4 linked regions of the Astyanax mexicanus genome follow. The protein of the gene in region 4 binds, or shares a complex with, the protein of the main gene of each other region. Links are inferred from orthologs where the notes say so. Each region holds a gene or a part of one and is shown on either strand. Other genes may lie near its edges.

Evidence for each region.
Region 1: apba1a (region 4) and lin7a share a complex: the UniProt entries of both Homo sapiens proteins name them as parts of the brain-specific heterotrimeric complex. The link is inferred for Astyanax mexicanus from reciprocal best matches to the Homo sapiens genes APBA1 and LIN7A.
Region 2: apba1a (region 4) and lin7c share a complex: the UniProt entries of both Homo sapiens proteins name them as parts of the brain-specific heterotrimeric complex. The link is inferred for Astyanax mexicanus from reciprocal best matches to the Homo sapiens genes APBA1 and LIN7C.
Region 3: apba1a (region 4) and lin7b share a complex: the UniProt entries of both Homo sapiens proteins name them as parts of the brain-specific heterotrimeric complex. The link is inferred for Astyanax mexicanus from reciprocal best matches to the Homo sapiens genes APBA1 and LIN7B.

What each region holds. Positions count from the first base shown.
Region 1 is NC_064409.1:24,819,468-24,827,307, forward strand, and holds the start of lin7a (protein lin-7 homolog A), read left to right. Parts: upstream 1-4,677; 5' UTR 4,678-4,773; coding exon 4,774-4,810; intron 4,811-7,840. UniProt on the Homo sapiens protein: Plays a role in establishing and maintaining the asymmetric distribution of channels and receptors at the plasma membrane of polarized cells.
Region 2 is NC_064430.1:6,993,481-7,001,459, reverse strand, and holds the start of lin7c (protein lin-7 homolog C), read left to right. Parts: upstream 1-4,772; 5' UTR 4,773-4,904; coding exon 4,905-4,941; intron 4,942-6,758; coding exon 6,759-6,877; intron 6,878-7,979. UniProt on the Homo sapiens protein: Plays a role in establishing and maintaining the asymmetric distribution of channels and receptors at the plasma membrane of polarized cells.
Region 3 is NC_064426.1:20,923,137-20,931,190, forward strand, and holds the start of lin7b (protein lin-7 homolog B), read right to left. Parts: upstream 3,029-8,054; 5' UTR 2,855-3,028; coding exon 2,779-2,854; intron 1,313-2,778; coding exon 1,194-1,312; intron 1-1,193. Other genes in the region: snrnp70 (U1 small nuclear ribonucleoprotein 70 kDa), read right to left, coding at 5,486-6,308, 6,851-6,950, 7,620-7,721. UniProt on the Homo sapiens protein: Plays a role in establishing and maintaining the asymmetric distribution of channels and receptors at the plasma membrane of polarized cells.
Region 4 is NC_064429.1:24,135,058-24,142,541, forward strand, and holds the start of apba1a (amyloid-beta A4 precursor protein-binding family A member 1), read right to left. Parts: upstream 3,144-7,484; 5' UTR 3,041-3,143; intron 1-3,040. UniProt on the Homo sapiens protein: Putative function in synaptic vesicle exocytosis by binding to Munc18-1, an essential component of the synaptic vesicle exocytotic machinery. May modulate processing of the amyloid-beta precursor protein (APP) and hence formation of APP-beta.

The sequences.
Region 1 (7,840 bases), on a different chromosome or scaffold from region 4:
TTCATACAACTGTCTGCTGTTTCCCAAATTATCAATTGCTCCTATCATGCAGATCACAATATATTATTTGTTACGCTGCAGAACTGACAGATACAGCTAGCTATTAGTTCACTGCACATGTCCTTACATTCAAATTATTTAAATTAGTTATCAGAGCCTGTAAAGCAGATTTTATATATTTTAATCACTGACAGGGTGCCGAAAATGTTCCAGCTGAGAATGACACAGATGTACTGTATTACATGCACCACAGGACCACCACAGAGCTGGGATTATTGTTTGGGTGGTGGGTCATTATTCTCAGCACTGCAGTGATCAGCTTTGATTATCATGGTGGTGGTGGTGTATGAGGTGTTAGTGTGTGTAGTGCTGGTACAGCAGTGCTGCTGGATTTTTTAAACACCTCAGTGTCACTGCTGGACTGAGAGTAGTCCACCAACCAGCATCTCATGGGCAGCATCCTGTGGGCATTGATGAAGGTCTAGAGGATGACCAACACAAAACGTGCCACAGATGACTTCACATCTACAATGTAGAGAAACTAGTTAAAAGTGTCTAATAGAGTGGACAAAGTGTTTAAATCCCACCGCATATTAAACAACAATCAACTATTATATAACTATAAAGTGCTCCTATATGCACAGTGGAGCTAAAACATAGATTATGGATGTAGAAACAAGTAGTTAGTCACAATGTTATGCTTGATAGGTGTATAATATATACAGTACAAAATAACAATGAATGTAATTCATAAGTCATGTTGCATATTCTGGAATGTAACCTAATGGAACTGGAATAAAGTAAATCATACACCTGGATGTAGCTGGCTTTAACCTGATGAAAATACTGTATTACTGATATTCTTGTCTGTTCTGTGGTACAACAACATGATCTGCCATTTATACAAACAGTAAAATCATAAAGATAAATTATGCATTATGAAATTCCTCACTGAGTATACTGATACATGACCACATGACTAATCATTTTGACTGTCTTGTTCATAATCGATGAATAAATAACTTTTTATTCTGGTGACTGACATGTTCACTTACATGTATACATACGTTTGGGTCATGGGTAAAGGAATTTGATTGCAGTGTGTGCATTTGCTGCTGATAATTTATGTGATGCTGTTTGTACAAGCTGTTCTGAGAAGTGCCCACACTGTGTTGCAAATATTAATTCAGATTTGAGAAATGCACCAAAGTGACTGTATTTGGGCCAAACATGGACTAATGTGTCCTATGGAGAAAACTGTGACACTTGGCCCCAGATATAATAGGCATAAAAATCACCACCAAATTGGTTCCATGACAATGCCTGACCGAGATGGCGACTAGCTCGACCAAAACATGTGGCAGGTCTATGAATCCACCCCTTACACAGGTGCCATTAGACCTAGATCACCAATGCTGTTCATTTCACATGGCATTGATTTTAATGTTACAATCAGTACTGTATAGCAAATTTGTTTATACTGGTTGACCTGACTGGTTGGGCTAAACTGTCAAACCCAGATAAAACAAATAGCTTATACTGGTCAAGAACTATATATAGAGCTTTATTGCCAAATATATTAATTCACCCATTCAAAAAAAAATTTACTTCAGGTGTTCTCATTACCAGCGGCCACTGGACTGTAGAACAGTTGTGACATGTTCTCTGGAGAGACCAATCATGCTAATTTTGTCTGGCTGCATTGTGCCAAGTGTAAAGTTTGGTGGAGGGGGATTAAGGTTTTTTTTCCAGGAGTTGGGCTTGGCCACTTCCAGTGAAAGAGACTCCTCATGTTTCAGCACACCAAGAGACTTTGGAAAATGTCATGCTCCTAACTCTGCAGCAACAGTTTGGGGATGCCCTTTCCTAATCCAACCTGTCTGCACACCAGTGCTCAAAAAAAGTATTTAAAAACATGGATAAGCATGTCTGTTTTGGAAGAACTTGACTGTTTTGACCTCAAACCCAATAGAACACCTTTGGAATGAATTAGAGTGGAGACAAGAGCCAGGCTTTCTCATCCATTATCAGTACCTGGCCTCACAAATGTGTCAAAAAAAACTTATAAACACACTCCCAAACCTTGTGGAAAGCCTTTCCAGAAGAAATAAAAGTGTTATAGCTGCAGAGGGTAAGCTCACATCATTCAAACCTCTATGGGTTAAAAAAGAGCAAATATTTTTGGCAATATATTGTAAGTTAGTCAACCAGTTTAACCAAATTGGTTAAGCTGGCCAGGCTGTTTTAGCAGTCTGCACTGTTTTGGCTGTACATTACATCCAGCAAGTGACCCATGAAGAACTTGTAAATAGCTGGGCTCGTAGATAGCAGCATTTTATCCTCTTCCAGCTTACCTGCAGTGCTCCAGCCCATTAAACCTCAGCTGGATGTCCCAAACAGAACCCTGCTCTGGGGCTGCTGCTGTTCCACTCCATATAAACCCACAGATTACACCAGGACTGCCTGGACAAGAATTGCCAAAACCATCACTCATACTGAACAGGAGCAGTGGACATCCTCAGATCATTAACAGTCAATATAAACCAACAGCCTCACAATAAATGCATCATCCATATATCTCTCTGTCTTACACACCCTCTTTCTTTCTCGTTCTCTTCCTCATCATCCCTATCTCTTTCTCTTTCTTGAGCTCTCTCTCTCATTTATTCACTCTGGATGACTGCATGACATAGGGCCTGTACTTTCTAGTCTAGTACCATTAAATACAGTTTATGAAATTGTGAAGGCACCTGTATGGCACCACATCACATTTAATACACTGGTGGCACTTCTCAATTAGAGGGGCACCTAACTGAGCACATCATCATGTTCTTTCAACTGTAGGAGAACACCATTCATTCACTCTACTGGAAAGGGCACTCTTTGGGACACGTTATAATGGCACCCCTACTACTACTGAAACGGCAGACGGGCACTCACAGATGGCACTCTTTAAGACAAATTATTAACATTTCTTGATCTAACAGCACAGCAACATCATTTATTCTAAGAAGGGGCACCTAATGGGCACTCAATCACTGTTTGTCCCGACTAGATGGGCAGACAATAGGGTTATTTGTCTCCTTTTCCACTTTAGATGGCACTTTAGTGACACTTTTTTACCATGGGGTCACCAAAGGGGCAGTTGCCCACTCTCTTTAATTATTCTGTCTTTTTCTCAACCTTTATCCCACTCATATATATTGTACTTCTGTATTACTGTACTACTGTACCCATTCTCTCTATCATTACATTTATCTCTCATACTACCCCTTCTCTGTCTATACCTCTTTTTCTCATTAACCCCATCTCTTTCTCTTTTACTATTTTATTCTCCCTTTTCTTGTTATCCCCATCTTGTCTCTTCCACCCCTCTCTCTTTTTCTTACTTTCTCCATCTCTTTTACACCTTTACTCTTTTACTCTCTCATACTATATCTATTTTTCTTTCTCTTTATGATCCCCATCTCTCCTTTACCCTTTCTCTCTTAACCTTACAATATTTCTCTCTCCCACTTTCTCTCTTAATCACTATCCTTAATCCACTATTCTCATTAATTCTCTTATTTTTATCTTAATTCTCTATTCTTCATAATCCTTTTCTCACAGCCTCTTTTATTCTCTTTATTCCTATAAACAGTACCTCTCTAATCAATTCTTTCTTCCTATCACTCATCCCTATTTTTCTTTTTCTCTTACTGCCTTTTTCTCATCAACCTTTCTCTCTTTTACTCATAATTGCTATCTCTCTCTCTCTCTCTCTCTCTCTCTATCTATCTCTCTCTCAGTCAACTCTCCCTCTCTCACATAATCTCTCCCTATCTCACACTACCTTTCTGGTGTTCTCTCACTCTCGCACATTCTCACACTATTTTTTCTTTCTCTACACCCCTTTCTTACTATCATTTCATTCTCTTTTATCTTATTACCTCTTTCTCATCGCTTCCCTCTCACTCTATAATCATCATTACTATCGCTCTCTTAACGCTTTCTTCCTATCTCTCATCCTTATTTCTCTCCCTTTCTCTCTCATTCTGCACCCCTCACACTTTCTTGTGTATTCCATTTCACTTATTCCTATCTCTTTCTCATACATCTCTTAATTCCTAACGCACTCTCTCACTAACTCTCCCACTCATCCCCTCTGTCTCTCACTCTTTTTCTGTACCTCCCTGCCTCGCTCTTGTTTTTTTTACTGCTTATTCTCTTTCTTAGTCTCTCTCACTTACTCTCTCCTCCCTATCTCCATCTTTTAACTCTTTATTAATCTCTCTCCCATTCTCTCTCCTCTTCCGTCTATATTTCCCACTGTTTTTGTACACCCGTCTCTCACTATCACTCTCTCTCACTCTGTACCTCTTTTTCCCCTCACCCCTTCCTCACACTATCTCTCTGCTACTTGTTCTCTCCATCACTCTCTCTCTCTATCTTCAGTTAATTCTCACTATCTCTCTCTCATCACTCTCTCTTCAGTTCATTCTTTCTATTTCTCACCTCTCTCTCTTTAGTTCATTCTTCCTATCTCTCTCTCTCTCTCTTCATCTCTCTCTCTTCAGTTCATTCTTCCTTGCTCTCTCTCTCTATAATAACCCCTCTCTTCTCCTACTCTTCCTCTCACTCACTACTCCTCGCTCTGTTTATCCTTCTCTCACTCTCTTCACTCCCCCTCCCATCCCCTTACTCTCTCTCTCTCTCTCTCTCTCTCTCTCTCTCTCTCTCTCTCTCTCTCTCTCTCTCTCTCTCTCTCAGTGTGTGCAGTAATAGAAGGCAGACATGGCGACGGTGGTCCAGCCGCTGACTCTGGAGCGAGGTAAGCGCGCGATGGATCCGCTAGATCCGGGCTCTAATTCGCTTAGATTCGGTTTATTTTATCTCCCGTGTAAACGCTTTAATTCCCGTATAGTTCGTATGAACGGCGTTTTTTATGGAGTGTGTTGCGCCGCGCGCTCCGGCTCGAGCCGCCGTGCTCGCGCTCGCTCGCTCGCTCGGTGTGGTGTGTGTAGTCTATCTGTCAGTAAACCAGGCTGAATTACTCCCACCTGTGCACACACCCGCGCGCGCTTTACTCGCGTGCACGCGCGTCCTTTACTCTCCGCTGTTTCTGTTTACTCCTGTACCTGAAGTTCGGGTCCAAACAATGGAGGGAGGGGGGTACAGGCAGGTGCTTCTGCCGCGCACGAGCTCCCAGACCCCCCTGTCATCATGCGCGAGCTGCGCGTGCACGCAGACGTTGCACAGCATCACTGGAGTAATGATGAGATCTGAGCTCGTGCTTCTGTTTTATGTTTTATGTTGTTTTGCGTACAATTCTCTAAAGGGGCTGCTGACTATGTGTTTCAGTGGAGTATTATGGGATGCGCGCGCGCGCGTGTGTGTTTGTGTGTTTTGTGTGTGTGTGCACTGTGCATGCACTATAGCCCCTAACTGGGAGTTAAGCCAGAATGGGTACGATGGTGTGAGTGTGCTGTGTTTCTGGTTGTACTGGTGTTCCTCAGGCCGATCTCTAATTGCCATAATCTTTAAATGGCCATAATAGTGTGTAGTCAAAATCTTCCACGATTAATTCCGGTCGATATGATATAATTATTATATGAATATGAACAGTAAAAAGCCTCCACCTGTGGTGCTCATCACTCAGTGACACTGCCAGGCTACAGTACTCTGTAGTGTTCTGCCCTTTGTGCTCAGCTTGAATTCAGTGAACTGACAGCAGCTCCCTGTTATGGACATCAGTCAGAGACAGATGTAAAATACTGTATGTCTCTCACAATCCTAGACCAGTATTTTATATTTTGATTTACCTTTATTCAACTAAAAATTATTGATAATTAGTAGAAGACGGTCACACTGATTATGGCTATAGTTCATGCTAATTGTAGTTATTGTAGTGTCCCGGCTAACTGGTGATTCTCATTGTTATTCTGAGCTGGATTATTCACTGATTTGATGGATATCTGATATGTAGATTATATCTGTATGATGCACGGTTGTTCAGTTATGAAGCTTAATAAGTTAATAGGTTATAAGTTTGGGGCTTAATGCGGGCCTCAGACGGGTAAAAATTATTTGACTGTTATTTTATAATAATTCATATAATAATAAATATTGATATTCAATTATTGTCCATTCCTAGTGTATACTGTGTAACTGGTGGTAGTGATGTGGTCAGCAGGCTAGGCTGAGCAAGGCTGGGATATTAATAGAGTAATGGGATAGCACTGGCCCATGGTATAACTGGTATGGCAGTAGCCCTTGCCCTGGTATGAGAGGTATGCTGGGTTATGGTGTTTTAAGGCTGTCTGGGTTAGTGATGGATGGTATAATGTGCTGTTAGCACACACTGAAGTGAGTGGCTCAGTAGGTTAGAGTGCTGCAGCCCTGATTTTATTATACTGCTTTAATGGCCTGTACCCTACATTTCTCTACTTGAGTATTTCTGATCTTTTTATAACATGTACTCAGTCACAATTCACATTTACACAACACACAGACTTTATGTTTATGTGAAGACTTTACACAATTTACTGAATTTAATATAGGGCAAAAATATCAAATATGACACTGAAGCTGTATTATTTTTTTGAAAAAACTGCATAAAGCTAATATAGGCTTTACAATTATACAGTACAGTACACCCCTCACATTTTAGTAGATATTTTCTTATATTTTTTATGGGACAACACTGAAGATATGATATTTTAAAACAATGTAAAGTAGTCAGTGTACAGCTTGTATAACCAGGGCTCTCAAGTTTTAAAGTGGTGGTAGTGTTCGCAGGTCTTCTTCAGTTGTACGAAGTTGTGGATGCGCGCTGTTCTTCTTCAGTTGTACAACGGGGGGAGCTGGGTGGGATTGGTGGATGTGCAAGTGTGGGCAGGTTTGCCGCCGTTCTCCTTCAGTTGTTCACCGAGTGTTTCAGAACTTTTGAATTGGACAGTTCTTCGCACCACCCTCTTTGACTAGGTCTGCCAAACAACAGAGTGATTTTTATTCTGATTGGCTCAACAAGAGTACATTATAATATACAGCCGATGGATTGGTAAGCGTGAGAAATACCATGTGTGGTGTGTGAGCGTGTGAACTCGCTGAGGTGCTCAAAGCGTGAGACTTGAGAACACTGTGTATAACAGTGTAAATTTGCTGTAACTTAATTCAATAGTCTGAACCACTAGAAACAAAAGTGAGTATATCTCTAAGTCAAAATAGCAAAATTGTGCCTAAAGCACCAACATTTTATGTGGCCACCAATATTTCCCAGCACCTCCTTAATCCTCTTGGTCATCGCATTCCTCAGAGCTTCCCAGATCGCCACTGCAATCCTCTTCCACTCCTCCATGACGAAATCATAAATCTAGCCTTTAGAGACCTTGCAATCCTCCACCTTTAATTTAAGGATGCCCCAGATGTGCTCAATTGAGTTTAGGTCTTGAGACATACTTGGCCAGTCCATTACCTTTTTCTTCAGCTTCCTCAGCGAGACAGTTGTCATCTTGGAGTTGTGTTTGAGATTGTTATTGTGTTGGAAATCTGCCATGTGGCCCAGTTTTCAAAGGGAGGAAATCATGCTCTGCTTCAGAATGTCACAGTACATTGAATTCAGCTTTCCAGTGTTGGCAGCACCAGGCCATGCATGTATCCCATGTTCTTGGACTGCTTGTCTTCAGCAAACTGTTTGTTGGCTTTCTTGTGCATCAGCTTTAGAAGAGATGTCCTTCTAGGTCAGTGCCATGCAGACTGAGTTCATGCAGTATATGCCACTTTTTTTAAAGCCAACCTCTGGATATAATGCTGTACATGTGGACTCAACTTCTTTGGTCAACCCTGGGGGGCTTGGGTGGAA
Region 2 (7,979 bases), on a different chromosome or scaffold from region 4:
AGGAGAGCAGAAAGGGAGAATTACATAGGAAACGAAAGAGACAGAGAGAGAGAGAGAGAGAAAGAAAGAAAGAAAGAAAGAAAGAAAGAAAGAAAGAAAGAAAGAAAGAAAGAAAAAACAAACTTGCATGCTGCTTCAATTGTGAATTGAAAAAAAAAAAAACGATACAAACTGTCCATTTAAGGAAAGCAAGGAATCTTTTCCGACCAAAACATTCTGTTTACATTCTCAGCAGTGACAGGACGTCCTCCTCTTAAAGTACTTTATCTGTTTCCTATTCTAAAGTTCTCAAGGTAATGTTGGAATTACATACTATGTCAAGGTGCTGTTGTCAAAGCTTTGCTGTTTATTTTTTTATCCCCACGAAATGAAAGAAAAAATACTATAAAAACTATATATATATATATATATATATAAATATATATAAAATCTATTCATTGATATGTTCTGGATTAATATAATTCATTTTGTATGTTGTGAAGTTGTTTGCAATATTAAATTGAAATATTTGAAGAAATAAAAATGACTATAGGCAACTGAAAAACTGAAAAAAGCAATGTCAATAAAGTCTGAGCTCTCCCTTTGCAGGTTTAAATTCAGCACAGATATCGGAAAACAGAAGATTACCTTCTATATTATTATAATATATTATTTCATATGTAAATTGGTGTTGCTTGTCAGAGATTGAGGCTAGTTTTGGACTAGTTTCCAATTCTACAGAATATTGGCCATACTTTATAGTATGTTCTGTGTCTGAAAACTAGACTTTTATTGTGAAGAGGCAGAATCCTTTATGAACCTGGTTGTGAGCAACGTTGAAACCGGAAATCCAGATTAAAGGAGAACACTGGTGTGAAATGGGCTTTTGTTATAGTGAAACATGATAATGATTATAAACTTTTGTTGAATAGCCCACCTCTGCTCACCCTCAGCATTTTGAAATACAGGGCTTTTAGTTGATGCTCCCAACTGGCTTGCAATGCTAGTGGTAGGGGCATAGTGTCGCCCATGCAAAGAAATGGCTATTTTTACAGCATTAACGAGGCTACAAGGTACTGTATGTATAAACAGTATTTTATACATATATATATATATATATATATATATATATATATATATATATATATATATAGTTTTTTAATAAAGTGTAGAGCTACTTTGAGCCTTGCTAATGATATAAACATAGCGATGCCTCTAATGCTAGCATTGTTATCCTGTTGGGAGCATCAGCTAAAAGCATTGTATTATATAATGCTAAGGGAAGATGGAGGTGGGCTATTGAACAAAAGTTCCTACTTATTAATCATATTCATCAACACAAGTCAATTCCACACCAGATTTCTCTCTTTTTTTAAGGCTAGATTAAACATTGCACCTCCTCTCAGAACGTCTTTCACACACACTACCTGACTCACCAAGGAGTTGGTGACCTGGGAGTTCCTGCAGCATGTTCAGGTAAGGACTCTTCAGCCCACGCTAGACTGAGATCTGCTCTGAAGTCGGTGGTGGTTCCCTCCAGTCACTGGTCACAGGCTATCACAGGTTTCCATCGCTGATGGAGATCATCTTTGAGGAGAACAAAAAAAGAAAGAGATCAATGCATTCAACACTCATCCACTCGACTTGATATCTGATCCATCTGCGAGCGCAAACCTGCTTTCACTCATAGATTGTTATCAGACACATGTGTCTGAAGTGTTGACACTGAGGCAGTATTGGAGATAAGGCACAATGTAGGAATAATTACTCTTTCCGTTGCTCATGAATATTTAAAAATATCAAAGGAAATCATGTTGGGGTAGTACGCTGTAAGAGGACTATAATTATGATAATGATAATACTCTATGAATTATTATTATTATTGTGCCATTTGCATTCATACTACTATTATTATTATTACATTATTACTACCGTATTACACATGTCCTTACACCTACTACCTATTCATAAGAGCTTCTATAGACTATAGATTTGCACACACCTAAAGAAGGACATCAAGGACCTTCGCATTTTTCTCAAGGACCTTCATCAATAACCCTCCTCAAACCCTCTAAATACAGGTAAAAGTGTTATTTTAAACCATGCAAACTGTGTCAGTTGCAATACTAACATAACTAATAACTAACTAATAACCTGAATAAAAATGAGAACAAATCCACTTCAGGTAGGCCAAGAGCCATTTTCACACTAAACATTACACCTCCCACTGACCAAGAGCCCGGTTCCATATCTCCTGAGTTATTTTAGTGAAGTTCAGATTGTCCCCAGTTCAAAGGCAGTGCTTGGTAAGAGCCAGCAGAGCCCTGTCCCATATGCCACAGAAATAGGTCACACTTAGCCTGTCCGTTTCTGAATTATACGGCTCTTAAAACATGGTGTCTGTGCAGTTTGCTGCTGTAATATAACACCAGAGGAACAGAGCAACAGAGCAGGATGATGGATGATGGATGAAGGCCTGGCCTGCTAAGTACCACTGGAACTGGAAGTACTGGAAATGGATTAACTCTGATGGTGAGACAGATATGATGCTATCCTGCTGATATTCCTGCGTTCTTATGATAATAACAAAATACAATTAAATTAAATAAATAACTTATCTTATTTTAGAACATTATTCTTAGATAAATCAAAAATACTAATCTAAAATCCATACAATGGAGGTAATTTAGCCTCATGGCCAGTAGATGGTAATGCTATCTAGCTAATACAACACCAGTAAACTCTCCCTGTATTCCCTATTTTAGACATTTTCTACCTAATTCCAACCATGAAACATATGCTAAAACTCTTTAATTTAGGTTCCTATCATTATCCAACGCTACAAACATGCTATAAACTGTTTTATTTTTAATAGAATCTCTATAGAGTGGGAGAATATCATCCACTTGAGAATGCTGTGTTTCAGGTGTGTCAGACACTAGAGGGCGATTCCAGTCCAAAATGAATGGGTTCCTATGGAGCAATTGAGCAAAAACACATTTTATAAACGTTTTATATATTTTTTACTGATAAATGGACTAATTTTCTCAAAACAGAGCCATATTAAATGTTTCAGCACAGCACACATCATTTTAAAAGCTTTTCAACTCTATTTATAAGAGTTTTAGCCAGTCACTCAGTACTAAGTAGCATAATGCTAGCGTCTCTACTGTTCAAAATATGTGTACTATAGAAAAATGGATCCATACAGGTAGGTTTTCTTGTCTTTCTGAGTGAAATACTTTATTTTACTTTTTAAAATGAAAGTAAAATCATGCATGAGTAGTTAGACAGTATTTGAAATATTGTTTTTAGCAGTTTAGCTCCATTCACTCCCATTCATTGAGGACTCTCTCGCGGGCTCCCTCTAGCGGTAAGATAGTAATTTGCTGATATAAAGGGTGAGATATGAAGTGGGTAGTCTCTAAATACTTGATTCAGATTAAAAGTAGATTTAAAGGCAAAGCTGTAATTAATTATAACAATATTGCCAAATCATTACAACAACAACAAGAAAAAATTACAATACAAAATACACAACAAAGCCTGCACAAAGCCTTCTCCAAATATTCTCAATGGGGTTTAGGTCTGGACACTGGTGGTCTATTCTGAAGGACAACAGGTCTAAATTTTTGTTTTGTGCCACAAATCATTAAAAAAGGAAAAGAAAATACATGATGTCCATTGTAATGATTTTTCTGATTAGGTAGCCCTATTCTGTTTTATTTTACTTAGTTGAGTATTTATTGTCATAATCTGGATTAGAACATTACTAAAATAGAGCTATTCACTGTATACCTGTACCTCTACCTCTTCACAACTTTACAACTGATGCTCTCAAACACATTAAGAGACAAGAAATTCAAGTAATTAACTCTTGACTAGATCAGCACAGCTGTTAACTGAAATACATTCCAGGTGACTCCTCATAAAGCTGACTGAGAATCTATACACACTAAAGTGTGCCATATCGTATTGCACGCAATAATATCACCAACATTTTAAATGTCTTGAACAATATAATACCCTGAAATAATGTGCCATATCACGCATCCCTAATTATCAGGGTACTACTTTTTTGCTTTTAAAAGAAAAATTCACAATGTCCTCATTTCCCTTTATCTATCTACTGGTTTATAACTGTCAAGTATCATTCATTTTACTTTAATCCTGGATATATGGAGATATTTGGAGTGCATTATTATTAGTATCATGACATTCTGGATCATAGACTTCTGTTACAAATCTCAGTTAAGGGTGTGCCATATCATATCATATGCAATCATAACAATTATTTTTAATTTTGTTCCAGTAGTGTATTCTTGAAATACATATCGCCCACCCCTAAGCTATGCTATACATTATCCCACCATCATTACATCTGAGTACAGGTACACTTTGTAACAAAATTATATTACTCCTTTTTAAAACACTAAATTATTAAAACAAACTTTTTTTATGAAAACTCTAAATTATATATATATATATATATATATATATATATATATATATATATATATATATATATATGTATATATATATATATATATATATATATATATATATATATATATATATATATATATATATATATATATATATACGTATATATATATATATATACGTATATATATATATATTTTTTTTTTTTTCAGTGTTTTCTCATATCGCCAAAAGTATCGTTATCGCAAAAATACCATGAGATGTCGTGATATTATTTTAGGGCCGTATCGCCCACCCCTAACACACACATACACAAACAATACTTTGTGTTTACAAAAGGAATGCGCATACCGTGCGCAGCGAGGATCCTGCCCGCCTCCCGCTGTAATCTCTCCGCATTAGCTAGCTTAGGTACAGGCAGCGGAGCCGCGGCGCTGAGACCGAGCCTTTATTCCGGCACTAGCGGACTAAACCCGGGTAACATGGCCTCGCTGGGGGAACCTGTGAGACTGGAAAGAGGTAAACTGTGTATTTCAGTGCTTTATTTTGTGTTTTAAAGGCTGGAGAGGCGCAGTTAGCCTGCTGTCTGAGATAAGCTTTATTCCGGGGCTGCTGGAGGCTATTAGCTAAACTAAGCTAAGCTAACCCAGGTAGCTCACTGTCAGCTGGACTAGCTTAGCTTAGTTCTAGTTCAGATTTTTGAATTAAACCAGCCCGAAAACTACTGTTTTTATCACTTTAAATATATTATAATGTTAATTAGGCACTAATATAGTATCATTTAACCAGTTCAGTCGATTACTGTTTTGGAAAATGTGGAAAAGTCTTGAAAAATTTGTGTAAACGTGAGATTTATGGTGGGATAATGTGTAAGTTAGCTGTCATTGCTATAGAATACTCTACTGCAACAAAATGAATATTATAATTTATTTGGAGATATAATAGCATATAACGGTAATATGATAGATTTTTAATTGAGGAACACAAAGTTTGTTGTAATAAATTACTTTTATTTTATTATTTTTAAACTGGTGGCATACAGTAACGTTATAGTTAGCATAGCTATTAAATGCTCTACTGCAACAAAATAAATATTAACGTTTATTTGGAGATATTGTAGCATACGCTATGATATGGCACACCTCTAATTTAAAGTTTTTATATTTAAAAAAAAAGTTTTTTTTAAATGTATTAAAATTACTCCTATTTTAAAAAAAGGAGTAATATAATTTTGTTAAACAGTATACCTGTATTCAGATGTAATGACAGTGAAAGCCTCTTGACTTGAAAATGTCTTGAAAAATGGGTATAAATTGAGTTTTAATGTATAGCATAACTTAGGGGTGGGCGATATGGTATTTTGTGGTATTTTCATGATAACTATACTCTTCGCGATAAAAATTGTATTTCAAGAATGCACTACTGCAACAAAATGAAAATAACATTTAAATATTGCTTATATGATATGATATGGTACACCCCTAACTGAGATATGAAAAAATACAAGAAATTGATCAGATTTGTAACAGAAGTCAATGATCCAGAATGTCAAGATACTAATAATGTACTCCAACTATCTCCATATATCCAGGATTAAAGTAAAATAAGTGATACTAGACAGATATAATCATTCTCTAGTACATGTATAATGGGAAATGAGAACAGTCTGAATTATATTGTGATAATTAGTGGTGGGTAATATGGCACGATATTTTAGGGTGTAATATCATTCACAATATTCAAAAAGATTTATTTGTAGATAATATTTATCTGAAATAGTTATTATGGTGGCATAATGTAAAACATACTTATAGAATGCTCTACTCAACAAAATGAATATCAGCATTTATTTAGAGATGATATAACATACGGTATAATATGCCACATCCCTAATTTATTTATTTTTTTCATTGAGAAACACATGTAGTTGTTTTTAATTAATTGCTGTTTTTAAAAATTAGTTTGAAGTGAGTTTTATAATGGGGGCTTCAATATGTGAAGTGAATTCCAGTTAAATTTGTGAGGTGGATATTTAAAGGGTTGGGTATGGAAAGGCAAGGGCCGATGTCGTCCTCAGGCTGTAAAATGCCCAGATCTCCTTTTTTTTTATTAAAAAAATCTGCTACTACTGATGCATTTAGTCTTGACTGTGAAAATATGATGCTAAATATCGTTTATATCATTTCTGATACAATATTTAATTGTATTGCCCAGCCCTGTTGTTGACTTCCCTAAATCACAAAATAACTATATAAAAAAATTCCAGAAGGATTTAGATTAATTGGTACTCCTGGTTTGTTGTCTGGTCTTGCCTCACTGAAAATATCTTTTCACAGATATCTCTCGTGCCATTGAGTTATTGGACAAGCTCCAGAGGACAGGGGAAGTACCCCCTCAGAAGCTGCAAGCCCTGCAGAGGGTTTTGCAGAGTGAATTTTGCAATGCTGTACGAGAGGTAAGCTCACCTTGAGTACTCTTCATTAACATTAGACCCACTGATATTGGATAGTTACACCCATGATTCCAGTAATATTGTTAATAAATCATAAGAAACTGGTTAAATTACTTTTTACTTTTCATTGCACGACTTTGTGTAACCATTTACAGTTATTTAGTGATGTTAAGTATACTTTATTTATTTATTTATTTATTTAGAAACTTCTCACTTTTCTGTGTTTTGTATATCTAAAAAATACAATTTTTCTAGTCTCCGCAATAACAACAAACCATCCAAATAGACCGGCCATGAAAGTTACCTTATTACCCCATTGTATAATAATTGTTTAATTATTTTTACTGACGTCAAAAAATTGTGCATTGTGTTTATTTTAATGAACCTTTATTAAACATTAAAGGTAGTCCTAATTTTTAACGAAACCAAATATTTACAACGTAAAGGAAATTGGAAAATAAAATAAAATTAAAATCAGTTATAATCAGGTTTAACTAAAATAAGTAACTTCATAAAGAAGACAATAAAAAAATTAATGGAATATGCATTAAAAAGCAAACAATAAACATTTAACTGCCGTTTGGACTAGTACATCATCTAAATAAAATGTAGTTATTTTGACAGGCCTTCCTACATTATAGTAATTATGAACTTTTTTTTTTTTTCCTTTTGAAATATAATTTTAAGAAGTTTTTTTTGTAGTACATGTAGGCTTTTAAAACATTAAGGCATTATATGCTTTAGACAAGAATTGCTCTGTCCATGGACTGAAACATGTTCCTGTATGCTGAGAATCCATTTAAGTAATTAGCCATAGGCTAAAAGGCTTTATAGGAGTGGCTATGTTTGTCCTAGAAAAGGAAAGACCAATTAAAGTCACACTAACAGCCTCTACAACCGATAGCTGTGCTGACCATTCGGTTCATCCTTTCTCAGAGAAGCGAGTCTCAGAAGACGGACGTGCCAGTGCCCATGTAGTGAGCCTAAGACTTTGCTGGCAGTTGGATCAGCTCTACCCTGCTGCTTTGTCATCTGTTGTGTTTTTTTTCTCCCTTTTTTTAAATAACCATCAACATTTATAGGCCAAAACACTGTGTAAAACACT
Region 3 (8,054 bases), on a different chromosome or scaffold from region 4:
GGAAGGAGATGCTTGAGAAGAGAGAGAATGAAATGAACGTGCTCCAGTCAGAAAGGGAGGAATACAGAGGAGGTCTGGAGGAGCAGCAGTCGCTGTGAAAGTGTGGGAAGAAGACAGAAAGAAAGAACAGTGCAGTCAAATCAGTGACTTCATCCCTGCATTCAGAAACTCTCTCTCTCTCTTTCTCTCCTGCCCACACACACAGCTTACTGTCCACAGGGAGCTAACAGCCAACATCCGGCTTGATGTAGGGGAGAATGAAGAGGTAATTAGTAACAGATAAACAGCAGCTTCTAATGTCAGGTTTAATTTAACTTGTGTTATTAAACCAGTACAGTGTAATAAAGGAGGGTATATTGAGGGAGTTCACTATTCTAGTGACGGTTAAATTTGACTGACATTTATTACAGTGCTGTAGATACAGATCTCCTCATTACCATTATCCATTAGTCCAGTGGGTGTATAAAACACAATGGTAATGATGAGATCAAGCTAAAACCAAGCATAATGTTAATACTAATAATTAATGTGCGTACATAATAACTAATGGCAGTTATGGGATAACATTTTGATAGAGCATAACATAGCATAATACTAAAATGAATTATTATTATCATCATACCAAATGGTTCATAAAGTCCAAAAAACAATGACAATTACAGAATAAACATTATATTATGGAGTTACGTAATTTATCTGATTATTAACTAATAGAGTGGTTATGGGTTTATGATTTCTTACTATATAAGTTCTATCTATAAATCCATCTTTCCTTTACATACAGCTCTGGAAAATAAGAGACCACTTAAAAAGTTTCTTTGATTTTTACCAAACTAAAAACCTCTGGAATATAAGAAGAAGATGGATGATCACAAGCTATTAAACCAAGCTGCTTGAATTTTTGCACCAGCAGTGGCATAAAGTTATCCAAAAGCAGTGTGTAAGACTGGTGGAGGAGAACATGCCAAGATGCATGAAAACTGCATGAAAATCTTGTTTCTGAACTCTCAAAACTTTATGATTATGAACTTGTTTTCTCTGCATTATTTGTGGTTTTCCAGAGCTGTATATCCTACCCTGTGTTATTGTGTTATTTTCAATTTGTATTGTGGTATTTAGTATACAAATAAAAAATAATTATACAGGAATCACATATGATGTGGACCCTATGTGTGTGTGTGGTGAAAGCCCACCTCTCTGATAGCAGCGCAGAACTTGCTCTGGAGGACTCTCTGCAGAGCCTGCAATTTAGGAGGCGGCAGCTCACCACTCCTTTGCAGCCTGTCCAACAACTCAATCACCCTGCACACATCTACAGATAGACAGACAGAAAGAGAGAGAGGGAGAGATAGAGAGGGACAGAGAGAAAGACCAGTTGGTTCTACACATAACGGTTTATAAAAGTGTCTGACTGCTTGTTTATAGAGGAATCAGAACTGAATGAAAAAGAGTGAAGCTGTTCAGAGTAGAGTAGAGCTACATCAACAGTACAGTGTATGACCAATTCATACTGGTTCTATACATATTAACGCTACATCAACAGTACAGTATAGGGCCAATTCATACTGGTCCTACATACCAGAGCTAAATTAAAAGTCCAGTGTAGGACCAATTAATACTGGTTCTTTACATATTAACGTTACATCAGCAGTACAGTATAGGGCCAATTCATACTGGTCCTATATATCAGAGCTACATCAACAGTAGAGTATAGGGTCAATTCATACTGGTCCTATATACCAGTGCTAAATTAAAAGTCCAGGGTAGGACCAATTAATACTGGTTCTTTACATATTAACGCTACATCAACAGTACAGTATAGGGCCAATTCATACTGGTCCTATATATCAGAGATACATCAACAGTATAGTATAGGACAAATTAATATTGGTCTTATATATATTAGCACTACATTAACAGTAGCCTACAGTACGGGATCAGTTCATACTGCTCTGATGTATGACAATATTGGTTTGACTCAGTAATTCAGTACAATGTCACAACAATTTATCTTGGGCCAATATAGCAGTACATTATACTGGTCCAATATATATCTGTGATACATCAACAGTGCAGTGTAGGACCAATTCATACTGGTCCTATATATCAGAATCACATTATACTGGTCCTATAGCATGATGTAATTCAGTACAGTGAGTGCAGGGCCAATTCATACTGGTCTAATACATATTAGAGCTACATCAACATTACAGTGTAGGACCAATTCATACTGGTCTCATATATCAGAGCTACATCAACAGTATAGGATCAATTCTTACTGATTTGATATATGACAATATTGGTTTAACATTGGTCCTATATATATATGTATCATATTGACGTCAGCAGTACAAAATAAAACCAGTTTGCATACATAATTCATTAATTCATATATATATAAGCAGTATGAATGAAGGATATCTAGGTTATATCCAGCACAGTTTACACAGGGGGAGGAGAAAACTATCCCAAAGAAGGAAGAACAGATCACACACCCCAAAGGTAGGTGCATGTGGGCGGTGTCCATTCACACACACACACACACACACACACACACACACACACACACACACACACACACTGGCTACTATGAGATCTGACCACAGAGTGACCACCCACTGCTGCCTGCACCCCACAGCCCGGACCCTCACAGCCTCCTGCAGCCACACTGGATCACACACAGTGAATGCGTGGTCCAGCCCTGATGCCGGGGGTCTGTGTGTGATGATGCTCAGCTACTACAGTGAGCAGCAGCGCGCGCGCCTGATCAGCCCCCACCTCTCTCCAGGCACAGCGGCTCGCTCATCGCCGCCATATCCGCCTCCTTCCCCGGGTGGTAGTAGGATGACATCATGGGGACTCGGAGCTCCGGCTCGGGTTCAGCTCGCGGCTTTCGGCGTCTCTACGGAGCGGGAGGTGCAGCGTGTACCGCAGGGAAGCCCCCGTCTCTCTCCGCGCGCTGCGAGGGTCGCGGCTCGGTGCTGCTGCGTCTATCCGCGCCGCGCACGCAGTGTATTGCTGAATGACGCAACACATCGCGTCAGAGACGCGGAGCGCCGTGATTGGCTCCCCGGAGATCGCCGCAAATTGGCTAAATATTAGCATTTCTCCTTAAGCAGCTCAGTCACAGAGGCTAATGCTAATTTACCTCACAATTAATGTACTAGTGCTTGTAAAACAATTAGAATATCGTTGAAAAGTTACTTTATTTCAGTAGTTTAGTTCAAATGTAAAACTCATATATTATATAGATGTATTACACACAGAGTGATCGATTTTAAGTGTTTATTTATTTTATTGTTGATGATTATGGCTTGCAGCCAATTAAAATCCAAAAATCTGTGTTTCAGAAAATTAGAATATTATATTATAGGACCAATTGGTACTTTGGGAAGTGTGCCAAGTCCTGCTGGAAAATGAAATCTGCATCTCCATTAAAGTTGTCAGCAGAGGTAAGCATATAGTGCTGTTAGATTTTCTTGGAGAAACACTACTCTGGCTTTGGACTTGATAAAACACAGTGGCTCAGCACCAGCAGATGACATGTCTCTCTAACCATCACTGATTGTGGAAACTTCACACTAGACCTCAAGCAGCTTGGACTGTGTGTCTCTCCACTCGTCCTGCAGACTCTGCTCCCTTAATTTCCAAATGAAACGCAAAATTTTCCAGCAGGGCTTTGAACTGCCCACCGTCCCAATTGGTCCTATATAATATTCTAATTGTTTTGAGATACTGATTTTTGGGTATTTATTTACTGTGAGCCATGGTGGCTTAGTGGTAACACGTTCGCCTCCCAGTACTGGGGTCTTAGCTTCAAATCCCCATCTGGGTGGAGTTTCCATGTTTTCCCCGTGTCTGCGTGGGTTTCCTCCGGGGACTTCGGTTTCCTTGTATAGTCCAAAAAAAAAAAAAAAACATGGAGATCAGGTCAATTGGAAACTCTAAAATGATCTTTGTGCATGTGGTATGTAAGTTTGTGTGTGTATGACTGTGCTTAGGTATTAATTGGCACTCTGTCCTGGGTAAATGCTGTAGTGCCCAATGCAGTCCTCCAGATGGACAGTCGTTTCCGGTTAAGAGTGCACTGTGCACTACTGGCTGCCGCTTCTCACCGGTGCGTGTTTGAGTGGTGAGTATAAATGTTTTTACGTAAAAACCTGCAAATTGTAAAGCGTCCTTGGGTTTATAGAAAGGCGCTATATAGGTTGAACATCATTTATAATCATTAACAATAAAATAAACGCTTAAAATAGATCACTGTGCACATTACATCTTTGAGTTTCACATTTTGAACTGAATTACTGAAATGAAGTGACTTTTTAATATATTTTTTAAAAATATAAATCAGTTAACAGCAGTGTTCCCCTTGGTTTGGTTCGTTTTCACTCAGGAAAAAAAAATGCACACATTGGTTAGAACTGCCTGGGGTGGTAGACAGAAAGATAATACAGCAAGAGGCATTCTTATTCATAACTGTAGTAGTAATCTGGACAACATAGAAGATTAAATTACACCTGTAGAAACTGTTTCAGTGTCTGCTGCTTTACTATAGTTTTAAACAAACACTACATGTACACCTGCTTAAACAAGCTGTACCAAAGGTAAAACTAAACAAGAGTCCAAATTACACATCACCACATCCCAGTATTCAAACAGGATTAAAAAGTCATAGAACACAGTCACGAATATTTTCATTAAAAAATGTGGATTTATTAGGGAAAATCAAGATGCAAAACATAACCCAAAAAAAGGCAAAACTGCCACAACAGGGACAGGTTCACATAACGTTTATATTTTTTTCAAAACAAGTAAAGCTAATTACAAAAAGAGCAATTTGTGAACCTATGGCAACAATTATTTTTTTTATTATTAAAAAAGACAATTCTCTTGGTTTTGGACGTAGAGCCGCTGCTGTGTGATCCACATAATGACAAAGGCAAACAGAACTGTACACGCTGCTGCTGTTGGGCAGCTGGAGAAACATTAGTAGTGAAGAATTCAAAACATATTAAATCTTAAATACATCCTACCTTGAAATGACTCCTGTGATTGACTATAACAGAAATATCCCACAGACACTACACTCTCAAAGCCGATGTGTGAAAATATGCTTTGTTTCCATTATGCAACACAGTTGGGCATCTAGTAAAGGACAACACATTCTCTTATTTTGAACACAACCACTGTTTAATATTTAACACTTTTAAATGGAAAGTTTAACACAAATGTCCACTTCCGCCTGTGTTCCTGTGATCTTTCTCTTTGTTTAAATACAATTAGTTTTGAATTAATTGTTTCATGTGTTGTCCTTAACTTAACACGTAGATACAAGATATGCACTCGTTTAGCCATGCATGGATTTTACATGTAGTTTTGGACTGAGCTGGGATAGGCTTAGGCCTGATCTAAGTCTTCAAAACTGGTCCTATGTTTTCAGCACATCTGTTTTTAGAGTGTAGACTCTAACCCACAAAAACTATATTCAGTATTCGTCACCCTGTGCCTCCATTTTGTAACCATTCTCATTAGAAGCGTAGCCCTCTCCAGACTGCATGGAATCTTGGTCCATCATGCCCAGGTTCAGGCCCATGCTCATCCCGTCCTGAGAACCTTCTTCAGACTGTGGTGGGATGGATTCTTCTCCTTCTTCAGCTCCGTTACCCAATCCTTCAGAATCTCCAGCAGGGTTCAGCATAGAGGCATGTCTATCCTCTCTGCGCTCCCCTCGATCTCGGTCGCCTCTGTCTCGCTTATGCTCACGGTCTCTGTCCCGGTCCCTCCTCCTCTCTCTATCCCGGTCCCTGTCTTTATCTCTATGACTTCTCTTCCTGTCCCTATCCCGATCCCTCTCTCTGTCTCTATCCCTGCTTCTTTCCTCTCCCTCCACACCGCCTTCCTCTCCTCGACCCATCTCTCCTCCGCTGGGGTCCTCCATCCCCCTCTCTCCTCCCTCTCCCATGCCGTCAGTCATACCCCCCATGCCCTCTTCTCCTCCTTCGGCTCCCTTGCCCCTCTCCCTGTCCCTCCTGCGGTCCCTGCTCCTGCTTCTCCTCTTGCGTTCTCTATCTCTGTCGCGGTCTCTGCTCCTCTCTCGGCTCTTGCCCTCCCCTCCCTCAGGTCTCTCCCTCTCTCTCTCCCTTCGCCGGCCGCCACCATCCTCACCAGCTCCCATTGGTCTTTCACGCTCGCGAGATCTGGTGCGCCTGCGTCTCTCTCTGGACCGAGAGCGGCGACGCTCACCGCGCTCCTTATCACGGTCACGGTCCCGACTGCGGTCGTGGCGTTCACGTTCGCGGTCACGGTCACTAAAATGACAAAAGAACAGACCAGCAATCAGGATATGTAGATCTTCGTTACAATACGGTAAATTAAAAAAACTGGGTTTCAATCCTAAGAGGACAAACATTAAAATTTAGCACACTGTTGCTGTCCAATGAAATAAGTATCTACCAAAGAGAACATTTAAAGGAGAGAGCAAAAACTTTTAGCTTTCAATGTAACTCAGTTTGAACAGTTTTTGATTTGGAGAATTTGTCTTGTTGAATTGGAGAATTCATCAAGAAACTTTGACATGAAACAGACAAAAATGGAGATACTTTTTAGATAACAATGATATACAAACACACCTAATAAAAACATCTAGCATTTTCTTTGCTCCCCAATTTAGCTATGCCAATTATCCAACCCACTTAGCTGCACTCGGAGGAAAGAGCAGTGATGGCAAGCTGCATGACTGGGATTCTAACCTGATCCCCTGATCATAGTGGCAGCACTAAGCCCGCAGGACCATTTCTAGCCCACATCATAAGTTTTAACCCACCACCTTTTCTACCACTCATGAACTCACCCCCCAATAGGTCGATCATCATAGCGTGATGTGTCATCTCTGCCAGAGTGTTTGATGTTCACATCCGCACCACCTCTTCTTGTGCCACCCAAACCACCACCTAGGAAGAAAAGCCACAGTTCCAATACATTAAGTACACAAAACAGGAGATATTTAGCTGTCACCCAAAAGCTAAGGATACAGAAAAGGTATATTTATGAATTACATTTATGTTAAGTCTCTTTTTTTGTATCCACAGAATGTGGTTAAAACTGAATCCTATAAACTGAAATAAGATTTTACTGTTTTTAAATGTAAATAGAGTGCAGTGTTGGCTCAGTGCTCACAGCCAGGCCACTAGCGACAAGGCTGCCAGTGTTGGGCCTTTAACCAAGACCCTTAACCCTCAATGCAGCAATGGCAGCCCAACACTCTGGGCATGTGTGCTCACAAAATCACTGCATCTTCTGAGTCTACTCACTATTGCGTATGTTCACTGTATAGATGCGTAAAAGCCCAAGGCAAAATTCCATCTGTGCCAAGCACAAGTATGGTGCACATGGTTATCTTGTCTAAATATACTGTTGCAATGTGCTGCCTCATTCAAAAAGCAACCAAGGATAGACTATCACAGCTTAATTATCTTGTATGGACTGGAAATGAACAGTAAATTTTCAAATTAATGCGTACAAAATAAGGCACACAAAAAGAAGATGTACATATTGCATGTGATACTAAAACAAAATCAAAAGTAAATCCAACTATATCCGGGAGAACAGTTACTGCTTACCAAGCCTACGGGGGTGCCATCCTTTCACTGTACGACCTCTCTCGACATCCACAAGAACTCTCCGGCCGTCAATCTTTTTACCGTCCGCATGCTTGTAGGCAGCTACAAAGCAGGAAAATGAAGGAAAACCAAAAAGTAGAGAGGGAGAAAGGATGAAAGAAAAAAGAAGTGAAAAATGAGAGAGAAAGAGAAGACTGTGAGCAAGAGGAATGCATGTTACAGTATTGTTTTTGTTATCTCTTACCTGCAGATACAGTTGCCCATGTAATTTCATACAGAAAGCACACGCTTACCTCAGGTTACTGACAGCGGTGAGGTAGCACCAATCAGCCTTTCCCATATTTATATTTATTTACTGTACTTGTGGAGAAGTACAAAGCAGGACAGATATGGACTTATTTACAAATTATATGCAGCTTACATTCGTGTTGAAAA
Region 4 (7,484 bases):
CTTAGCTCAAACTGATCATTCATATTGCCTTGCCATGAGCACATTAGCCACTGTTCAACCTCCCACACAAGGTAACACCTCACAATGTTGGGATTTCCAAACCGTTTCTTGACGTAACACTTCAAGTTTCCTACATCAAATAATCTGTCCAACTGATTGTGGACACTCATTTGATTAAATAGGTTAAATTCAGCTGCTTCAAAATCTGCACCTACTGCTGTGCAATGAAGATAGGTACTGCCAACAGAATAGCCTGACTGCATTTGAATGTAGAGCAAGGGGAACTGGAATGATGGTTCTCCACCCAAAACTTTAGGGATTAGTTGGAAAGATGGAGATGCAGTGGGGTGCTGATCATCCAATACCCTGACAAATAAATTCTTCATAAGCAGCAAACCTCCCAAATCTTAGAGAAAGTCTTCCCAGAAAAGTGGAGGCAGATGATCCAAAAAAGCAGGATAAACCATTTTTAAAACTCTTTTCATTTAAAATATGCCCCAATACTTTTGTCCATTATAGCGTACATATGTTTGTAGAAAACAACAACTTGTGTCAGTAATGGATACACCTGATTAGAAGGGTAGTCCTGATAAAGTGTCTTAGAGTCTAGGGTTAAGCCTAGCCTTGGATTATATTTAAATTCCCTTCAATGTAGAATCTCCAATCATAATGATGTGCTATACACAACTGTGCCTAATAGTGTATGTACAAATAAAAAATCAGATTGCATTATAGATGATTGCTATTAGAAATTCTCTGAAAACAGAAAATGGGTTTCCCCTGGTTACTCTTAGGGTTTCTTTATCCGGATAAAAAAAGGAAAGCTTTTGTTTTCTGTTACGCTCCTTTGCTTAATGACAACATATGTTGTGAAAATTTCTTTACCAATACATTTGAATTATTAGGACACTGCAGATAAGCCACACACTTACAGGGGAGATCCACATCTCTCCCATTTCCTATTATGTCCAATTTATAGTCATTTATAATCTTGCCTATTGCAAAACTACTTTAAAGGGCACTGACAGCAGTTTTCCAACCCAAAGCAAATACAAGAAAATGAAATACATATTGCGTTACTTACGTTGATACAGTTTATCTGTATTCAATATGGATTTTGATGCTAATTGGGTTTTTCAAGCAAAAGCAAAACACTGCCAAACCAACCTGCAAAACATAGCTTGTACCTGAAAATCCTGAATAATTACCCACTGCGACACAACGGTACCAGAACTGCAGACTGCAGGATCCACCAACACATAACAACGATCAAGGTAAACTGATTAGATTAACCACGTTAGCTATAGGATCACAAATCACCTCAGTCACCAACCCAGTCAATGAAGACGCAGCCAGCTAACAAGCCAGCTTACCATTCGTGAAGGCAAAGGGATTTTGTTGTTCTACCTGCAGTGTTTGACAGAAAATAATAGCAGGAACAGTTAAGCTCCAGTAGACAGTGCGTTATAAAAGCACTTTAGCTGAAGTGATCTCTTGCCCAGCATCTGCAGTGTATTAGTTAGCTACAAGGCTTTCCAGAGCATCGTCTATGGTGCTGCTGCTGCGGTAGACTGTTTTGCCCACCTGCACAACGGAGCAGGCGCTGGTAGTGAGGACGCCATTCACTAAAGAGACTTCCTACGGAGCGATGGGCGATGCAAGAGAGGAGAGGACCCGGGCTAGAGCTATATTGCACATAGGGGGCGTAAATGGTGCCAACACTGGATGGAGAGAGTTACGAAATGTAAAGCTGGGTGTGACAGGAAATATTTAAGCTAACTAGCCCCCTTTTTCTCTCTTGATAAATATATATTTTGTATCTCTAGCTACAGATGGTATAAGCTAGGAATGCCAAAAGCTAGTTAACTAGCTACCAAGCTACTTCAAATACAGCTCTGGAAAATGTAAACCTACTTGGTAAATTGAAACCTATGGAATGGCAGAAGGAGTGGCATAAAGTTATCCAAAATCAGTGTGTAAGACTGGTGGAGGAGAACATGCCAAGCTGCATGAAAACTGTGATTAAAAAAGAGGGTTAATCCACCAAATACTGATTTCTGAAACATTATTTTTTGCATTAAAACTTTTGATTTCTTTGCATTATTTCAGGTTTGAAAGCTCTACATCATTTTTGTTATTTCAGCCATTTCTCATTTTCTGCAAATAAATGCAGTAAATGACAATATTTTTATTTAGAATTTGAGAGAAATGTTGTACGTAGTTTATAGGATAAAACAACAATGTTCATTTTACTTAAATATGTACCTATAAATAGCAAAATCAAGAAAATAATGATTCAGAAACTGAAGCTGTATATTATTTGTGTTAGCTAATTAGTATTATATGCTATAATTGTCTTTATGCCATGAGTGACCAAGGATAAATTTCCACATGTGGGCAATAAACAAATTAAATTCTATTCTATTTTAGTATAACCATACTACACACAAGCTCAAGCCAAGTTTGTCTTTATCTATAACACAGTTTCCTCAATATAAGATGGATTTACAGTAAGCCTACCCTCCTTACTGTTAAATTCTAAAATCGTGTCAGAAACTTAGCTAAGCTTTCCACACATTTGGGCCCAGGTTCGTTCCGCATTAGTCCAACAATTAACGTTAGCCAACATTCACGTTATCACGTTATTACAGTCCCTGACTGAAAAAAAACCCCGTGAAGTGGGCGTAGCAGGAGGCTAGCTAACCTTAGGTTTTTACGGGGCTTCTCCTCCCACCGAGACGTTTTTTTTTTTTTTGTCGGCATCCGTGGCAGTGCTCGTTTCAAGCTCACGTCAAATATATACGCTTTAACAGTCACTAAATATAAAATATACCTCAATAAAGTGAAAAATCACCCAAACCCAACTAGAAAGCCTCCTTTAAATGCTTTTTCCAGTTGGTCTCGCCGCTGAAGGGAGCGTCCTCACCGCAGCGCTGCCAAACGCTGCTGAGAAAAGACCGTTAATTTTAGAAATTTGATATTTAAGCTTCACGCGCAGGTAGTTATAAAACCGTTGCACCGGCAGCTTAACGGCTCTCACCTGTTTCGGGCAGTCTAACGGTTTTCCTCCATCTTCCGTCCCTGCCTTTCACACTCTGCGCGAGACGAGTGCGTTATTTTTTTCCCCACCCGTTACGAACCATGCCCCGCCTCCTTAAGCTACGATTGGCTGGTAGTACGGCGACCGGGATGAGTCGCGTGCTCGGATTGGCTGGTGGCATCGTCTGTGGCATCACATCGGACAGGCTTTTTTTGTTCATGTTTTACTTTTGTATTGTAATATTTTTATTCATTTTATTTTATGCTTTTATATATATGTTTTTAATTTTTTTCAGTATTGTAAATATGCACAAACAGAAAAGTAAGTTGTCATACAATATTTACATCAACTGTAACGGAAAAAAAGGAAGAAAATGAAAAAAAAGGGGGTGGACAGAGCAGTCCGAGGGGTTCATATTTGTTGCCACCTTATTCCGCCACGCCCACTTTAAAGGAAATAATTATTTAAAAGGACAAAATGTACTAAAATACAGCAAGTGTATACAACACTGCATTACAATTTTAGAACAATAGACTAAAATAGGTAGAGACTGGATTTGGTTACCCTCCCCATGCCCTCTCCAGACAAATATTTGTGGACAATATATCATTCCAGAATTTTTTTTAAATTTCTACTGCTACTCAGCTGTATAAAACAAGGAGAGTGAAGACTAGCACATGCCTTCTGATACATGTAAAGTCAGCCACCACCCCTTTTCAATCTGCTGCTGATGCAGCATTGCTGAGTAACATTACAGTGCGTTTGCAGGAGAGCGCATTAACTCGGTTCCAATACATCAGCTCACAGACGCCTTGTGCTGATCACCATCACCCTTTGTAGTAATGTGGGGAAGAAGAGTGCCATCTACCCACCCAGAGAGAGACCAATTGTTCTCTTTCGGGGCTCCAGTAGCTGATTGCAAGCTGCATGACAGGAATACGAACCAGCAATCTTCTGACCATAGTGGCAGCACTTTACATTGCTGAACCACTCAGCACCCTATATTATTGTCATTTTATGACAATTTAAATGCCACTGTCATAGAATAGCATAACAAAGCATTACATGAATGGCTAAAGTTGATTATGTCATTATCATGGCAGGGCTACTCATCTGGTTTGCCAGGTTGTCTATTGAATCCACCAAAACAAGTTTAAGAACCCTTTTTTGCGATTGGAAAGTGACAATGTATCATATTCTGTAAGCTGGTCAGCTTATGTATATGTTTGTAATAAATGTTTTGTTGTTTGCACATTTATAAATCTGTCAACTGTTAGCTAGCTTGACAAAAATACACACTCTAAAGTTGGAGTTATTTGTTTTACAGATCCCAATAACATAATACTGAGTTTAACAAATAACATATCTCATTGCTTACCTGTATAGCAGAAAATGTTACAGCTCAGCACTCGTCTTGTAGTCTTTCTGGGTCTAAGCTGTCTCCATCTATCAAATACACTGACAATATTTACTCACATTTTACTTGTTCTCAGGTCATGAAGCCTTTTTTAGGATGCTGGGGCTCCAGGACACTGTTTTTTTGTTTGTTGTGTACATTATCTGCAAACCCAGGGTGTGGAAATGGGACTGGGAAATGGGCAGATGGTGGGGTCAGAAGCTAAAACACAAAGAAATTTCCTTTATTAATGGATAGTTTAAAGCTGGATAAAGCAGTGCTGTCAGGAGATGCCAATGTTTAAAGTTAGCATGTTTCCTTAATATCTGAAAACATATCCTGCTTATTTACAGAATAAGAGTTAGTACAGAAAATATAAAAGACATTGCCCTTTTAAGAGTTTTAAAGCCTTTCAGATAGTTCTAAAACAGAAAAGTGCAGCTTGGAGGGTAGACTTACTAAAATGTATGCAATGGAAATTATATTTAGAAAAAAAATACTAAAGTTAATCAAATACTCAATACATATATCATAATTATTTTCAGAATATATAATATAGTTTCAAAGAGTGGACATCTGACAGCTTTCGAGCTCTCTACATGGCTCTGGTGAGCATGAACTACTAGCCAATCCCAGCGCTGTCAGTGGGATATTATCAGCCAATCCCAGCCAAATAGGCGTGGTCTGTTGGAATACGGGTGGAGAAAAAAGGAACACAGTGGCTCAGTGTCTCCGCCCTCACAGCAGGCGTGACATCAGAGGCCTGCGAGCCAAACAATACCACAAGCCCCAGTATTTCTGAATGAAGCACTGAGACTGAAAACAGACTGTGGATTAACTTGTACACGGCTTTTAAAGTCACTTTTCTTGGTCTGCTTCCTTTCAGGGAACTTCAGTAAATATTTAATAATATACAGGCAATATTCTGTAACAACTTCATCAGTATTCAGTAATCAGTATTGGATACTACATAATTATTTATTTTTGATAGCAGGTGTTTACAACAAAGCACTTGGTCATGACATCCTCGTAATTCTTAACATGCGGCAGGTTGGATCTTCTGACTAGCACACAAATGTACATGAACATTTATTCTGTCTGTGGAAACTTAGGTTCCCCCATGGAACAATACGATTAGACCACCAGCACAGCAGAACAAAATGTTTAGCTGAAAGCTACAGTCTAAACATACCTAATATTTTGGCTAAATGCTGGGCTTGGCAATGCTGGCCCAGGTCAGCAGCCATGTTTACAGTTAGCCGTAAAGTTAAGTCAGCTTCAGAAGGGTGGAGGCAGGACACTTATCAAACAGCAGGAGCCAGGCTCTAAATGCTTGGAGTGAATTAGCTGAGATGCCAACAGTCAGCTTTAACAGTTCTTCTAACGTTGTTGCTGCTCCACTTCATTATTTTCCTCCGCCACCCTAATACTGGTCTAGACACAAGTAGCTCCACTCTTTCCAGGATAAGTGTCCAATATAACCACACTTAAAAAACAACTGGTTCTGAGTATGTATCATTAATATTGTAGTATACTCACCTTTGACTCTTGTATCTGTACTAAAGAGTCAAAGACGTGTTAGTATTAGTTATAAGTATTACTTGTAAGTATGCAATTGGCACACACCCTTGGAGTGGGTTAGCAGTGATGCTAACAGCTGGTCCCGGCCGAGTTGAAGCCGCAATGCCAACAGACACTGTAACCAGGCTTGAAAGGTTTGGAATGGGTTATCCATGATGAAAAGTTGGCCCTTTAGAAGGACACTGAGACATTGACTGTTGAAAATAAAATTACATAGTGCCCCATCAAACAATCCCAAATACTAAATGAATACAACTGTTTAGAAAAAGCAGAAAGATTGTTTTCAAGAGAAATTTTATTTCCTGTGGTAGGCAACTGACAAACATTTATTGTGGATACAGATCTTTTTAATCTAAGAATAAATATATAAACACATGAATGAGATGCTAGATTTGTTATTGTGGTTGAGCCAAAAAGAAAACCTACAGTACCTTATGTAAACATACCTAAAATACATGAGAAGGAAAAAAACTAAAACAAAACTAAATTTCTTCCTTTTCCCAACATTTGATAAAATAATTATGAGAATGTATGTATGTATCTGCATAGATGTACCAGCGCACTTCACCTCAGCTCTTCACATGTTGCGTTACGGCATTCGATCCACAGATGTGATGCAAGAAGAAAACAAATTCAAACACAAAACGCAAACATTTTTACATTTTTAGCTTCTTTAAGACACCATAAATTAATACACTTAAAGCAGTTAACATTAGAACTTTTTAAAAACATTGAGAAGGATAAATGGATTAGAGTTAAGGTGGAAGCCCTGAAGAGATAAGACTAATATTGAGAGCTCATCTAGACAAGCCTTCATGTAGCCAACTCTGCGTGATGGCTCTCGTATAGGTCACTGAGCAGGTAGTCAATATAGTGACAGAACTTGTACAGCAGTGGCACAAAATGCAAAAAAAGAAAAAAAGAATAGATGGAAAAAAGAACCAGGAGTAGAGCTGGGTATTATTCACAATTTTTCAGTAGTGATACCGATAACGAAACGGGATACCGATAACATAAATTCAATTCAGCAACTTTTTTTATTTAACCGCAAATCAAAAGTAGGTGTGGTCTATACCAGAAAAGACTAAGTATTTGCAAACTAAGCTGCTGATAGTATTGATTATTATATGGTGGAATTTGGGACTTAATGGGGCCTGGGCAATATGGTAAAAATATATCACAATATATCAGTACTGTCAGTACTGACATATCTTAAAATCTACCATTTTAATTTATAAGAGCACAGTCATTTTTATTCTAATTATCCTGTCCTTAATTATCCTGGACTAAATTACACTCTTTTTAATAAAACGTGGAGTTGGGTCACTTTAAATGATTGATGGTATTCTCAATAAGCTTAAATAAGTATGTTTCTAAATACAATAAAATATCATTATATTGACCACCTCTAGACTTAATGCCTAGGAATTTGTTTTTATACTTTAAACTACTAAAAGTAGAAAATTT